2 linked regions of the Macaca mulatta genome follow. The protein of the gene in region 2 purifies or fractionates together with the protein of the main gene of each other region. This does not show direct contact. Links are inferred from orthologs where the notes say so. Each region holds a gene or a part of one and is shown on either strand. Other genes may lie near its edges.

Evidence for each region.
Region 1: the proteins of TEFM (region 2) and KBTBD7 purify together in Homo sapiens (co-immunoprecipitation; 5 studies listed by BioGRID and IntAct, counting the BioPlex papers as one, with this or other methods). This does not show direct contact. The link is inferred for Macaca mulatta from reciprocal best matches to the Homo sapiens genes TEFM and KBTBD7.

What each region holds. Positions count from the first base shown.
Region 1 is NC_133422.1:20,612,585-20,619,286, reverse strand, and holds the start of KBTBD7 (kelch repeat and BTB domain-containing protein 7), read left to right. Parts: upstream 1-2,337; 5' UTR 2,338-2,646; coding exon 2,647-4,704; 3' UTR 4,705-6,702. UniProt on the Homo sapiens protein: As part of the CUL3(KBTBD6/7) E3 ubiquitin ligase complex functions as a substrate adapter for the RAC1 guanine exchange factor (GEF) TIAM1, mediating its 'Lys-48' ubiquitination and proteasomal degradation.
Region 2 is NC_133421.1:41,585,371-41,591,902, forward strand, and holds the start of TEFM (transcription elongation factor, mitochondrial), read right to left. Parts: upstream 4,546-6,532; 5' UTR 4,504-4,545; coding exon 4,473-4,503; intron 2,934-4,472; coding exon 2,470-2,933; intron 1-2,469. UniProt on the Homo sapiens protein: Transcription elongation factor which increases mitochondrial RNA polymerase processivity. Regulates transcription of the mitochondrial genome, including genes important for the oxidative phosphorylation machinery.

The sequences.
Region 1 (6,702 bases), on a different chromosome or scaffold from region 2:
AGGAAGGTAAAAATCAGTCACTGCCTATATGAGGTACCTAGAGTAGTCAAATTCATAGAGACAAAGAGTAGAATGGCAGTTGCCAGAAGTGGGGGACTAGAGAGTTATTGTTTAATGGGTACAGAGCTTCAGTTTTGTGATAGTTGCAAAACCGTGTGAATATATTTAATGCTAAAGAACTATACACTGAAAAATTTTAAATGGTTAAATTTAGTGTTATGTGTATTTTACCAACATTCTAAGAAGTTTTTTAAAATGGCCATTCCTGTGCTGGTCATGTGACTCATGCCTGTAATTGCAGCAACTTAGAGGCTCAGGCAGGAAGAGTGCCAGACTAGGCTGGCAGGATAGTGAGACCCCATCTATAATTTTTTTTAAAACATTAACTGGGTATGGTGGCATGCATCTACAGTCCTAGCTACTTGGGAGGCTGAAGCCGAAGTATTGCTTGAGCCCTGGAGTTCGAGGCTGCAGTGAGCTATTATGGTGCCACTGCACTCCAACCTGGGTGACAGGGTGAGACCCCATCTCAAAAAAAAAAAAAAAAGAAAAGAAAAGAAAAGAAAAAAGGCTTTTTTCCCTAGCTGGTTGTTCACTGCAAGTGAGAAAACAATCATTGTTACTAATAATGACTGACTTAATTCCCTCTGGTGTATCTGAGGGATGTCTAACATCTCTTTTTATTTACAGAGGAGATATTGGAGCCCAGAGGCTGACTTAATTTAATGTGTCTACCCTAGAGGATTTCCAGTGGACTTCAGCTGATAACAGAAAAACAATTTGAAAGTTTTTCTCTTGTAATGTGTTATCCATACATGCATATAATACTGATGATTTTCTTTATTGGGTTATGGTAATATAAACTAGCAGCAGGAGCAGTCACTGGTTTTGTAATAAAAGTTATCTGAAAAAGTCAATCTGTTACCAGTGGAGGGTGTCCAGGTTCTTGGCGTTTTGGACAAAGAATTGGAAGAAACACATAAACAAAGCAAGGAAAGAATGAAACAACAAAATCAGAGATGTACTGAAAATGAAAGTACACTCCAGTGTGGGCGCAGGCCCAGCACAGGGCTCAAGGGCCCTGTTACAGAATTCCTGGAGGTTTAAATACCCTCTAGAGGATTCACTGGTTACTTGGTGTATACCCTATGTAAACGAAGAGAATGAATTAAAGTTACAAACTCATTTACTCGGCATACACCCTATGGAGAGGATATTTCTTGTTATAGCTAAAGTGTGAATCGGCCTTATGTTCCCTGCCTCCAGACCCTATTTTCCTGCCTCAAATCTCTAATACTTGATTTTGATGATTTAACTGTTGATCAATGCAAATATAAAAGACTTTTGTAAAGCATAGGCTATACTGTATGTTAATTCAAGGAATGTCAGGGCATGTACTAATGCTGAATTCTGAGAATCACGTGCTTTTGTACAGAACAAAGTCTGTTTCTTGAAATATTTTGAGTTAAATACTCCCTAAAACTCCTTAATAAAGGCAATTACAGAATCTGTTAATTGATATGTGGAATGGCAGTGAAAGAGGCTGTATTAGACGACTTGAAAACACTCATATTTGGAGCTTAATGAAAATATTCCTGCTCCCCAGAGATGAAATGTTAGTGAGAGTAGCAAATAATCTATTTTTATATGCCCGATTTGCATATTTGAGGCCATCTATTAACACCGTTCTTTAGGACCTCAACCTAGTCGTCTAAGACATCCTTATTAAACAAGGCCAATACGTACCATTTAACATTGAAAATAGTTAATGCCCTTCAAAATCTTTCAAAAGAATAAAAATTAAAAACTAAGTTCTTTGTAAAATTTTGCGGTTTAAAATAATTTTTAAAATTTTAAAAATTTTTTGGTTTCAAATTAGTGGGTGCCTCATTTATCATAAATTATAAAAGAGAATCTAACAATTATTGGCTACATTCTAGGCACGGGGTAACGCTTTATTGTTCTTCTAACCAAAAAAATATATGTATCTAAGTATCCTATGTAACGTATCATTCAATCACACAAAACCCTATGAAATACTGGCAGGGCCCGGTGGCTCACGCCTGTAATCCCAGCACTTTGAGAGGCAGAGGCAGGAGGATAATTTGAGCCCTCAGGAGTTCAAGACCAGCCTGGACAACAATAGTGAGACATCGTCACTTCACCATCATATCCAGAATTAATTTCTACTGTTAGGGCAGTCAGCGAAAGGAAAGCTCGCGATATTACACAAACTACTACTCCCAACATGCAAAGCGGTTTCTTTCCCTCTGTCCCCGCCCGGCCGTCCGAGAGCCCCAGCAGGCCTCGGGGCGCGAAAGGCAACCTGGAAGCGGTAGTTCTCCTGGGCGCCTAGCGGGATCGCCAGCGCGGCAGTGGGGCCTTCCGCGGCTCCAAGCCAGCGGGTCCTGTGAGGGCGAGCGGAGGCGGAGAAAGGGCGCGGGAGTGAGAGAGGGTGAGTCAGCCACTGTCTACGCAATAAAGGGAGGCCTCACCGCGGGCTAGGGCTGAATTCAGAAGTGCGGCCCGTGCCGCAGTCTGTTCCAGGACGCGGCTTGTCTTAGCGTCTGCGAGGGAAGGTTGAGGAGGAGCCAGAGCCGGGTCCGGCAGCCTTTCTCGCTATCAGCGCCCGTCGCCATCTCCACCATGCAGTCCCGGGAAGACGCCCCGCGCTCTCGCCGCCTCGCCAGCCCCCGCGGTGGGAGGCGGCCCAAGAGGATTTCCAAGCCCTCGGTTTCGGCCTTTTTCACGGGTCCAGAGGAATTAAAGGACACGGCCCATTCTGCAGCCCTGCTGGCACAGCTCAAGTCTTTCTACGACGCGCGGCTGCTGTGTGATGTGACCATCGAGGTGGTGACGCCTGGCAGCGGGCCTGGCACGGGTCGCCTCTTTTCCTGCAATCGCAACGTGCTAGCAGCTGCGTGTCCCTACTTCAAGAGCATGTTCACAGGTGGCATGTACGAGAGCCAGCAGGCCAGCGTGACCATGCACGATGTGGACGCCGAGTCCTTCGAGGTGTTGGTCGACTACTGCTACACGGGTCGTGTGTCTCTCAGCGAGGCCAATGTGCAGCGCCTGTACGCAGCCTCCGACATGCTGCAACTGGAGTATGTGCGGGAAGCCTGTGCCTCCTTCTTAGCCCGACGTCTTGACCTGACCAACTGCACCGCCATCCTCAAGTTTGCAGACGCCTTCGACCATCACAAGCTTCGATCTCAGGCCCAGTCCTATATAGCTCAGAACTTCAAGCAGCTCAGCCGAATGGGTTCAATTCGGGAAGAGACTCTAGCAGATCTGACCCTGGCCCAGCTGCTGGCTGTCCTGCGCTTGGATAGTCTGGACATAGAGAGTGAGCGGACTGTATGCCATGTAGCTGTGCAGTGGCTGGAGGCTGCTCCCAAGGAGCGGGGTCCCAGTGCTGCGGAAGTCTTCAAGTGCGTGCGCTGGATGCACTTCACTGAAGAAGATCAGGACTACTTAGAAGGGCTGCTGACCAAGCCCATTGTGAAGAAGTACTGCCTGGACGTTATTGAAGGGGCCCTGCAGATGCGCTATGGTGACCTGTTGTACAAGTCTCTGGTGCCAGTGCCAAACAGCAGCAGCAGCAGCAGTAGCAGCAGCAACTCTCTTGTATCTGCAGCAGAAAATCCACCCCAGAGACTGGGTATGTGTGCCAAGGAGATGGTGATCTTCTTTGGACACCCCAGAGATCCCTTTCTCTGCTATGACCCTTACTCAGGGGACATTTACACAATGCCATCACCTTTGACCAGCTTTGCTCACACTAAGACTGTTACCTCCTCAGCTGTCTGTGTCTCCCCAGACCATGACATCTATCTAGCTGCCCAGCCAAGGAAAGACCTCTGGGTGTATAAACCAGCTCAGAATAGTTGGCAGCAACTTGCAGATCGCTTGCTGTGTCGTGAGGGCATGGATGTGGCATATCTCAATGGCTACATCTACATTTTGGGGGGGCGAGACCCTATTACTGGAGTTAAGTTGAAGGAAGTGGAATGCTACAGTGTTCAGAGAAACCAGTGGGCATTGGTGGCTCCTGTCCCTCATTCCTTCTATTCCTTTGAACTCATAGTGGTTCAGAACTATCTTTATGCTGTCAACAGTAAGCGCATGCTCTGCTATGATCCTAGCCACAATATGTGGCTGAACTGTGCTTCTCTTAAACGCAGTGACTTTCAGGAAGCATGTGTTTTCAATGATGAAATCTATTGTATCTGTGACATCCCAGTCATGAAGGTCTACAACCCAGCTAGGGGAGAATGGAGGCGGATTAGTAATATTCCTTTGGATTCAGAGACCCACAACTACCAGATTGTCAATCATGACCGAAAGTTGCTTCTCATCACTTCTACAACCCCACAATGGAAAAAGAACCGAGTAACAGTGTATGAGTATGATACTAGGGAAGATCAGTGGATTAATATAGGTACTATGTTAGGCCTTTTGCAGTTTGACTCTGGCTTTATTTGCCTTTGTGCCCGTGTTTATCCTTCCTGCCTTGAACCTGGTCAGAGTTTTATTACTGAGGAAGATGATGCACGGAGTGAGTCTAGTACTGAATGGGACTTAGATGGATTCAGTGAGCTGGACTCTGAGTCAGGAAGTTCAAGTTCTTTTTCAGATGATGAAGTCTGGGTGCAAGTAGCACCTCAGCGAAATGCACAGGATCAGCAGGGTTCTTTGTAAATAGATTTTGAGACACTAAGATGTTTCTACTGCTACGGAATGTATTTTAAACACATATCCTTTCTTTTTCTTGAAAAAAAAAAAGTTGACCAGGACCACAGATTTGGTTTAGAAAGGGTAATATTTTGAAATACTACAAGGTTTAAACAGTCCACAAAATCGACCTGTTTAATAATATACCTTCCTGAAAGTCCAAAATTAAAATATGGAAGCAAGAACTATGTAATTGACTGGGATGCTTGGTAGGTTTTTTTCATTGTTCAAATATTCATTGCACAGTGGATTGTTTTGATTAGTTAGTATGCTTTTTTTTTTTTAATTAATTCAGTCTTCTGTTAATTTTTAAGTTTTGGTTAGTGCCACAAGGAATTTAACTTTTTAATCTGTACAATAGAAAACTGGACTAGGAATTGTTGGTGGAGTTTTGAAGGATGTATACTTTCCTTCAAAATAAAGTGGTAGATTTTCAAAATTTTACACTAGTCAGTTCTTTATATTCTAAGTTAAATATAGTTTGTAAAATTATTTTGGTTTTCTACAAAGGAAAAAAAATTGCATATATATATATATATATATATATAAAAAGGTTACTGAATAATGATTTCATTTTGATAAATGTGCAGAATGGCCTCACAAGCTCACAGAAAGTAAAAAATAAGTAAATAAAAATAAGGATTCCACTGTTTTAAAATAAATCTGTTTTTATTTTGGAATATAAAATGTGTATTTGGTATATGTGACCAATTTTCTTTCCCAAAAAACACCCATTCTAGTAATGTCATGAATTAAACACCCTTCTAAACCAAAAAAAAAGGTAACTTGCTTTTTACGTTTGTATTTTTAATCTATGCCCAATACATGCTTTATTGACGCAGAAGAACAATTCCTAGACATATAATTGGGTAATGCAAATTTTTATCCACTGGTCATGACTTGTCTTAAAATGTTTATTTGCCTCCCTAAAATATTTTGGCTGTATAGGTTTGGTGTTTGTCCTAGAGGATTCTCCATCAGAAAGTGATTTATTCTTTACTGTTTTGTGAGGTAATATGGTTTAGAACATATATATAAGCTAAAAATGGTATTTTATTCAGATCAGTAGTTATCATGTCTATCAGCTATAAAAAAAAATCAAGTGCCAGCCAAGAACTTTAAAACTTTAAGCTGTGTATTATAAAACTGTTTTGTGTAGCATTGGAATATTGTCCATTTTGTAAGTCACTGTGAATGTTCTTATCAGCTTGAAGGTATTTTTGTATTAAAAGTTGACATTTAAGAACCTAAGTGAATAACGGGGTTTGGGGCCAGTAGTGAAAGTATGTTTCCTCTAAAATATTTCCCTAAACAGTGGTATACATGGTTATTTTATTATGAGATTTGTATATGTTCTGTGTTTCTCTGTGAACCATGTTTCAGTCTCTCTGTCACCATATGTAAGGGAAAGTCCATAAATATAGACTAAATTGCACAAAACTGAAATTGTTAATTACAAGAAAATATAGGTGCTTACCTTTTGAAGGTTTATTAATACATGTGATTGTCACAATACGTATATAAAAGTGGTGTACATATACAGATGTTTATGGTGTATAAATTTTTCTATACCCAATTAGAATTATCTTCCTGATTCTTTATTCAATAACATGCTAATTCCTCTTCTATGTTCTGTAGTGACAGAATGCTAACTTTTCTTACACCCTGGCAGAGGACAGGAGTCTGGTCTAGGATGGGGAACTGAATTTTTGAACGAAAAGGGAAGAGAAAGGATAAAGAAACAAACAAAACGCACAATCATGTTTCTTAGTCATTTTGATTGGCCGTTTGAACAGTCTACAAGTTTAACGTTATTTCTAGTGAAGTAAGATGCCTGCCCTAGCAATACATGTTTCTTCAAAAGCGTAAATGTGCTTTAGTGACCTAAAGCTAAATTCTGTTATAAGTACTGCACTTAATACAAAGCTATTTCTCAGTTGTGTTATTTTTGAGCCAAATTCTTCT
Region 2 (6,532 bases):
GATTACAGGCACCTGCCACCACACCCAGCTAATTTTTGTATGTTTAGTAGAGACGGGGTTTCACCATGTTGGCCAGGCTGGTCTTGAACTCCTGAACTCAAGTGATCCATCCGCCTCTGCCTCCCAAAGTGCTGGGATTATGGGGGTGAGCCACTGAGGAGTAATTATTATTAAAAGGTAACGAACAGCAGTTTATAGATAAAGAACCTATACTCATCTCAACACCTAGCCCAAAGTAGGCATTCAAACTCAAGTGTAGCCAGGGTCTGCACTAGATACTAGGAAACAAACGTAACTGTACATTATAAGAAATGCCACCATAAAACTATTGTAGAGAGAAGTGATCAGGGAAGGTTTGCTGGAGAACTAGGAGAATGAGATGGTGCACGGGAAGTTATTTCACCCAGATATTTCACCCAGGAAAGATAGGCTGTTTGACATCTCAAACTCTGGCAGTACAATAAAGACTGAATAGGAAAAGGGCAGAGGACTAGGCAGGTGTCTAAACGTAAGTAACCTGCTTTATCCTGAGTGCTACAGGGGCCACTAAAAAAACAGAATGTTAAGGAATAACATAAGATTTACATTTCAGAAAAATCACTCATGGTGTAAAAGATGGGCTGGAGGGCACTAAAGGTAGGGATCTGTGTTAGGTACCTGTTATAACATGAGAAAGTATTAAGAATTGAAGACAATGACAGAAGGAAAAGAAACAGAGATAGTGGGAACAGAATTAATACATAGGTTTAATGAGGAGTCTAAGAATTCCAGTTTTATATCAGTGACTGAATGGCATCATTAATGATGAAGATGACCCTAGGGAAGGTGGGAAGAAATTTTTTTGTTTTGTTTTGGTTTGTTTTTAATGTATTAAGTTTGGGTTGCCTATAGGGCTTCTACAAGGAGATATATAAGTAATTGAATATCTAGATTTTGCTTCCTATCAAGTATGGGCTGACAATGAAGTACAATGCTATTACCTTTCCCCAACATGGCTCACTTAGTTATATTAACAAACTAATATGTTCTATAGATACAGAGGCAAATAAACAGGAACAATTAGTTCTATTCCCATCTCCCTTTCATTGCTAAGAACTGGATAAATGTCTTAAAGACAAAATAGTATAGATGCCCAAAATACAGACCTCCTATTGGTTCTTTTCTTTAGCTCAGTGACTCTCAAGCTTTAGTGTGCGTAAGCATTACTAAACCAGACTACACACAATACTTTGTGGGCAATCGATTTTCTCTTAAAGGATTTTACTGCATGACTTATGTCTCCATAAAAACTGACTTTAGAATCCAGCCCCCTAAATAAGATGCAACTGCACTATAATCTGGATATAAATAGTTTTGGCCATGAATTTGGATAAGAATCCTCCCTGAAAAGTTTGGTTGAAATATGTTCCAGATCAATTGCAGCAGTTCTACCTGGAGTCCATGAGCGGACTTAACAGAATCTGCCAGTCCTCTGAAACTGCAGTATTCTGTGTATATGTGCTATATCTTTTTCTACAGGAAAAGGGTCCACAGCTTTCATCAGGTTTTCAAAAGTACCCATATTCCTCAAAAACCTGGGAGCCACTGGTCTAGAAAAAAATGGTGCTTATGATTTTTATGAGATAATGATTATCAAGCAATGTTACACAGGACATGAGTTCCTCTAAAGTTTAATATTTGAATGCTGTGTCCAGGCGTAGTGGCTCACACCTGTAATCCCAGCACTTTGGGAGCCCGAGGTGGGTGAATCACGAGGTCAACAGATCGAGACCATCCTGGCCAACGTGGTGAAACCCCGTCTCTACTAAAAATACAAAAATTAGCTGGGTGTGGGGGCGTGTGCCTGTAGTCCCAGCTACTCAGGAGGCTGAGGCAGGAGAATCGCTTGTTCCTGGGAGGTGGAGGTTGTCGTGAGCCAAGATCGTGCCACTGTACTCCAGCCTAGTGACAGCGCAAGACTCCGTCTCAAAAAAAAAAAAAAACAAAAAAAAAACTGTGTCAAATATTTGTAGTACTTATTTTTTTAAGATAATGGAAAAAGAAGTGCTTTTAGAAAGGCCATAACCCATCTTTGCTCCTTAATTTCTCATTAATCCCAACATCACCCTTAGACACAGCCTAGTATCTCCAATGACACTCCTCTTAAATAAGCCTTGCCTAGACCTGCTTCTCAACACTAACTGTTCTTTCTACCTAGAATCCCCTCCTCTCCCAGCCAAAGGATCTCTCCTTTAAGATCTAAATTGAGTTTTTCCAGTAAACTTTCCACAACAGTCACAGCCCATTGTTTTCTCTCCTCTCAACTGCCAATTTACTATCTGTACATCTCATTATTTGGTAGTGACCATATACTTGCCAACTAAACCTGAAGAACCTTGTCTTAGCCACTTCCCAACCCAATGCCCAGAAGACTGCTTTCCAGAGTAGGTTCTCAAATATTAGGCAGTATAGCAGACATGAAGAATATACCTTAAGTCTTTCTCTTTCTATGTCTGGTTTGAGGAGCTTTCTCAGGAACCGGTTTTCCAGTAACTTTCTTTTTTCCCCTCCAGTCTTTGGACAAAGTATGGAGTTACAAACTTGAACTGTACTTTTATACTTAAACAAGGGCACATTCATTAAACTCTCTAAATTCTGAAATCGCCCAAAGTTTTCTCTGTGCTTTACGATATTGATGGACCTTCTTCCACGAAGCAATCTGAAAGCTTCAAGTTCTTTAGTAGATGCTGTATTCAACACATGCAAGATGGAAGCCTGCTGTTCTGAAGAGAAGAGCTTGTCAAGTGCATTTTCAGGCTCCTTTGCATTTTCATCACAAAATGTAACATTGGGAGTAATTTTCTTAGGTGTAGTGGATTTTTTCCGACAGCAGGAATTATGTAAGACCCGGAACAGGGATGACCTCGACGGGGCCAGAAAGCATCTCCACCTCTCTAAAAGGAAAATGTAGCAAAATGTAAGTTGGATGTCCTACTTCCTTTAGTGTTAGTTGCAAGCTTGACTAGATCCTTTGCAAAGTCACAAATACTTTCCCGGAATTTAAGAACTAGTAGAGGACAATATTAAATTGTCCTGGAGAATCATCTTTAAAAGAGGATTAGTTTTTAAACTATATTACATAGAGTTTTAAATACAGCTTTTGTTGTTTCAAGAGATGTCTTCCGATTTTTATGGGTCAGTCCAAAGTTTTACTACCTAGAAAACTGTATTTTACACCCATTAGGAAGAAGGTAGTTGAAATAATTATTCCAACTGCTTAACGTTTTTGATATTTTTAATTTAGAGGAATCTTTTTGTAACTAATATTTCCTGTTAAGGTTTGTCTTAGGCCGGGCGTAGTGGCTCACGCCTATAATCCTGGCACTTTTGGAGCCGAGGTGGGAGGATCACCTGAGGTCGGGAGTTCGAGACCAGCCTGACCAATATGGAGAAACCCTGACTCTACTAAACATACAAAATTAGCCGGGCGTGGTGGCGTATGCCTGTAATCCCAGCTACCTTCAGGAGGCTGAGGCAGGAGAATCGCTTTAACCCGGAAGGCGGAGGTTGCGGTGAGCCCAGATCACACCATTGCATTCCAGTTTGGGCAACATGAGTGTAACTCGTTTCAAAAAAAAAAAAAAAAAAAAGGTTTCTCTTCACTTCCATTTTCACATTTTAGTATCTCATCTGGTGGAACTGAATAAAATTAAATTTTATACGTTTATAAGAAATGTTTCGCCGGGCGCGGTGGCTCAAGCCTGTAATCCCAGCACTTTGGGAGGCCGAGGCGGGCGGATCACAAGGTCAGGAGATCGAGACCACAGTGAAACCCCGTCTCTACTAAAAATACAAAAAATTAGCCGGGCGCGGTGGCGGGCGCCTGTAGTCCTAGCTACTCAGGAGGCTGAGGCAGGAGAATGGCGTGAACCCAGGAGGCGGAGCTTGCAGTGAGCCGAGATCGCGCCACTGCACTCCAGCCTGGGCAACAGCGTGAGACTCCGTCTCAAAAAAAAAAAAAAAAAAAAAAAAAAAAAAAAAAAAAAAGAAATGTTTCAGCTAAGTGGTAGATTTAAGGGCAGTTTTATTTTCTTCCGTACACTTTTCAAGATTTCTACCATGACGTTTTTGCAAGTATGAGAAACACCATACAATGCATAACTTTGTAAAACCAGTGGGAAGTCACTCTAACATCGCAGCCACAGGAAAGTAATGCGGCCAGAGGTAAGCAAGCGGCTGTGAGAATCTGAACCATCCGCCCACTCTGAGGAGCCACCTGTGGAACCTGAGGCCAGGGAAGCACAAATGTTCCGAAAACCGCCCCGTCAACTAGGCTGGGGCTCCAAGAGAGGGGCCTGAACAAGGGACATGAGGGACATGAGGAAGGAAACACTCCAGGTTCCTCCAGAATACCTCCAGCCCTATTCCATTAGCCTCTAGGGTCAGAGGCTAGTGACAGACAGGAAACTACCCCAGTGTGCCAAGCACCCTACCTCCCGCCATGAAGAGGGTAGGGCCGCTCATCTCCAAATTGAGTCAGTAGGTCTGGTCTTCCTCCATTGACTTCCGGTTCCTGCGTGCTGCGCCCAAAAGCGCTCGGCCTGCACTCGGCGGAAAGGTTGTTGTCCAAGCGGCGTTCCGGCGCAAGGCCGGAGATGTGTCCCGCTGAGCAGTGGGTTGTCTGCGTCTGCGCTGCCGGCTTCCGAGCGGGCGCCTGCCGAGGCCCTGGCCCCGGATTCCGAGTCCCGGGCTGGCCGGCAGTCTTCTTCCACTGCACCGGGGAGACGTTCTTGCCCCTCCCGACTCCTGAGAGCCGCTAGGCCGAATCTCCAGGAAGGCAATTCGGAGGCCAGTGTTAGTCTCTAGTGGGCAAAGTCCCTCCTTCGTGGAGACTCCCTGGGTTTCTCGTAGACACTTAGATTGAGGAGCTCCTGTTGGGGCCCAGCCTGTGGCGCCGGGAGCGGGATCTGGTGGGGGCAGCGTAGACAAGGTCCTCAAATAACCTTTTCACCAGATAGACTGGAATAACGGGGAGAGATGCGAAGTGTTTCAGGAGCTCAACAGGGAAACAGGGCAGGCAAGGGATTAGGGAAGGGCGAGGGAGGAGGAGATTGCGTTGGCGCTGGAGCGGTATTCCACTTAGAAGGGATAAAGGGAGATGAATGTGGCGCCGAATTGAGTTTGTCCTTGAATGCTGGGTGGAGCAGTTGAATACTCCACCAGGGAGGAAAATGCCTGAAGTCCCCGAGGTTTATGATTTGCAGAGTCAGACTGGAGATGTGTTTCTAGAAAATTGGCCATATACTGTATACCGAATGTGAGGCTGGATTGGAGGTGAAGAGCCTGGCAGCAAAGAGAAGTTGCCTCTCCTCTTCCCAGGGGAGAGGCAACCGTAAGGATTTTTTTCTTTCTTTTTTTTTTTTTTTTTTGGACAGTCTTGCTCTGTCGCCCAGGCTGGAGTGCAGTGGTGCGATCTCGCTGCAACCTCCGCCTCCCGATTTCAAGCGATTCTCGTGCCTCAGCCTCCCGAGTAGCTGGGATTACAGGCGCGCGCCACCACGCCCGGCTAATTTTTGTATTTTTGGTAGAGACGGGTTTCACCATGTTGGCCAGTTTGGTCTTGACCTCCTGACCTCAGGTGATCCGCCCACGTCGGCCTCCCAAAGTGCTGGGATTACAGGCGTGAGCCACTGCGCCCGGCCAACCGTAGGGAATTGAACCTGGGAGATGTAAGGAGAGTGGAAAGAAACGGATTCTTTCTGGAAGATGGGGAGCCAGTTTTGTGAAAAACGGGGAATTCCAGGAGGGAGGGAAAGGTGATGAGTTTGTGTTTTTATGAGGCAGCAATGGATTGATTGTTTTGTGTCTGGAAGGCAGTGGGGATGTGGGGGAATCATAAGTATTAATAAAATGTGCTGGTTGGGAGCAGTGGCTCGAGTCTGTAATTCCAGCACTTTGGGAGGCCGAGACGGGCTGATCCCTTGAGCTCTCGAGTTCCAGACCATCCTGGGCAACATGGCGAAACCCCGTCTCTACTAAAAAATTAGCCGGGTGTGGTGGAGCATGCCTGTTATCCCAACTACTGAAGAGGCTGAGGTGGGAGAATCACCTGAGCCCGCGAGGTAGAGGTTGCAGTGAGTGGAGATCGTGTCACCACACTCCGGCCTGGGGGACAGAGCCAGACCTTGTCTCAAAAAAAAAAAAAAGAAAAGAAAAAGAAAAGAAATTTTCTCATAGGAAGTCTAGGTACCTTGGCAGTTTCTGGGGAACTTACGAATCTAACAACAAATTACATCAACTTACGAATCTAACAAGAAATTACATCAACTTTTTCTGCAAAATCAGGAGGAAATAATTTCCTCAACTGTAGGGCTTATTCACCTTACTGAGATGTTATGATTGAATTGCATCCCTCAAAACAAATTTGTTGAAGTCCTAATCCCCAGTACCTTATTTTTCCAAATAAGGCCATTGTAGATGTAACTAATTAAAATGAGGACACGCTGGACTGGGGCAGGGACTAATCCAACATGACTGCTGTTCTTATGAGAAG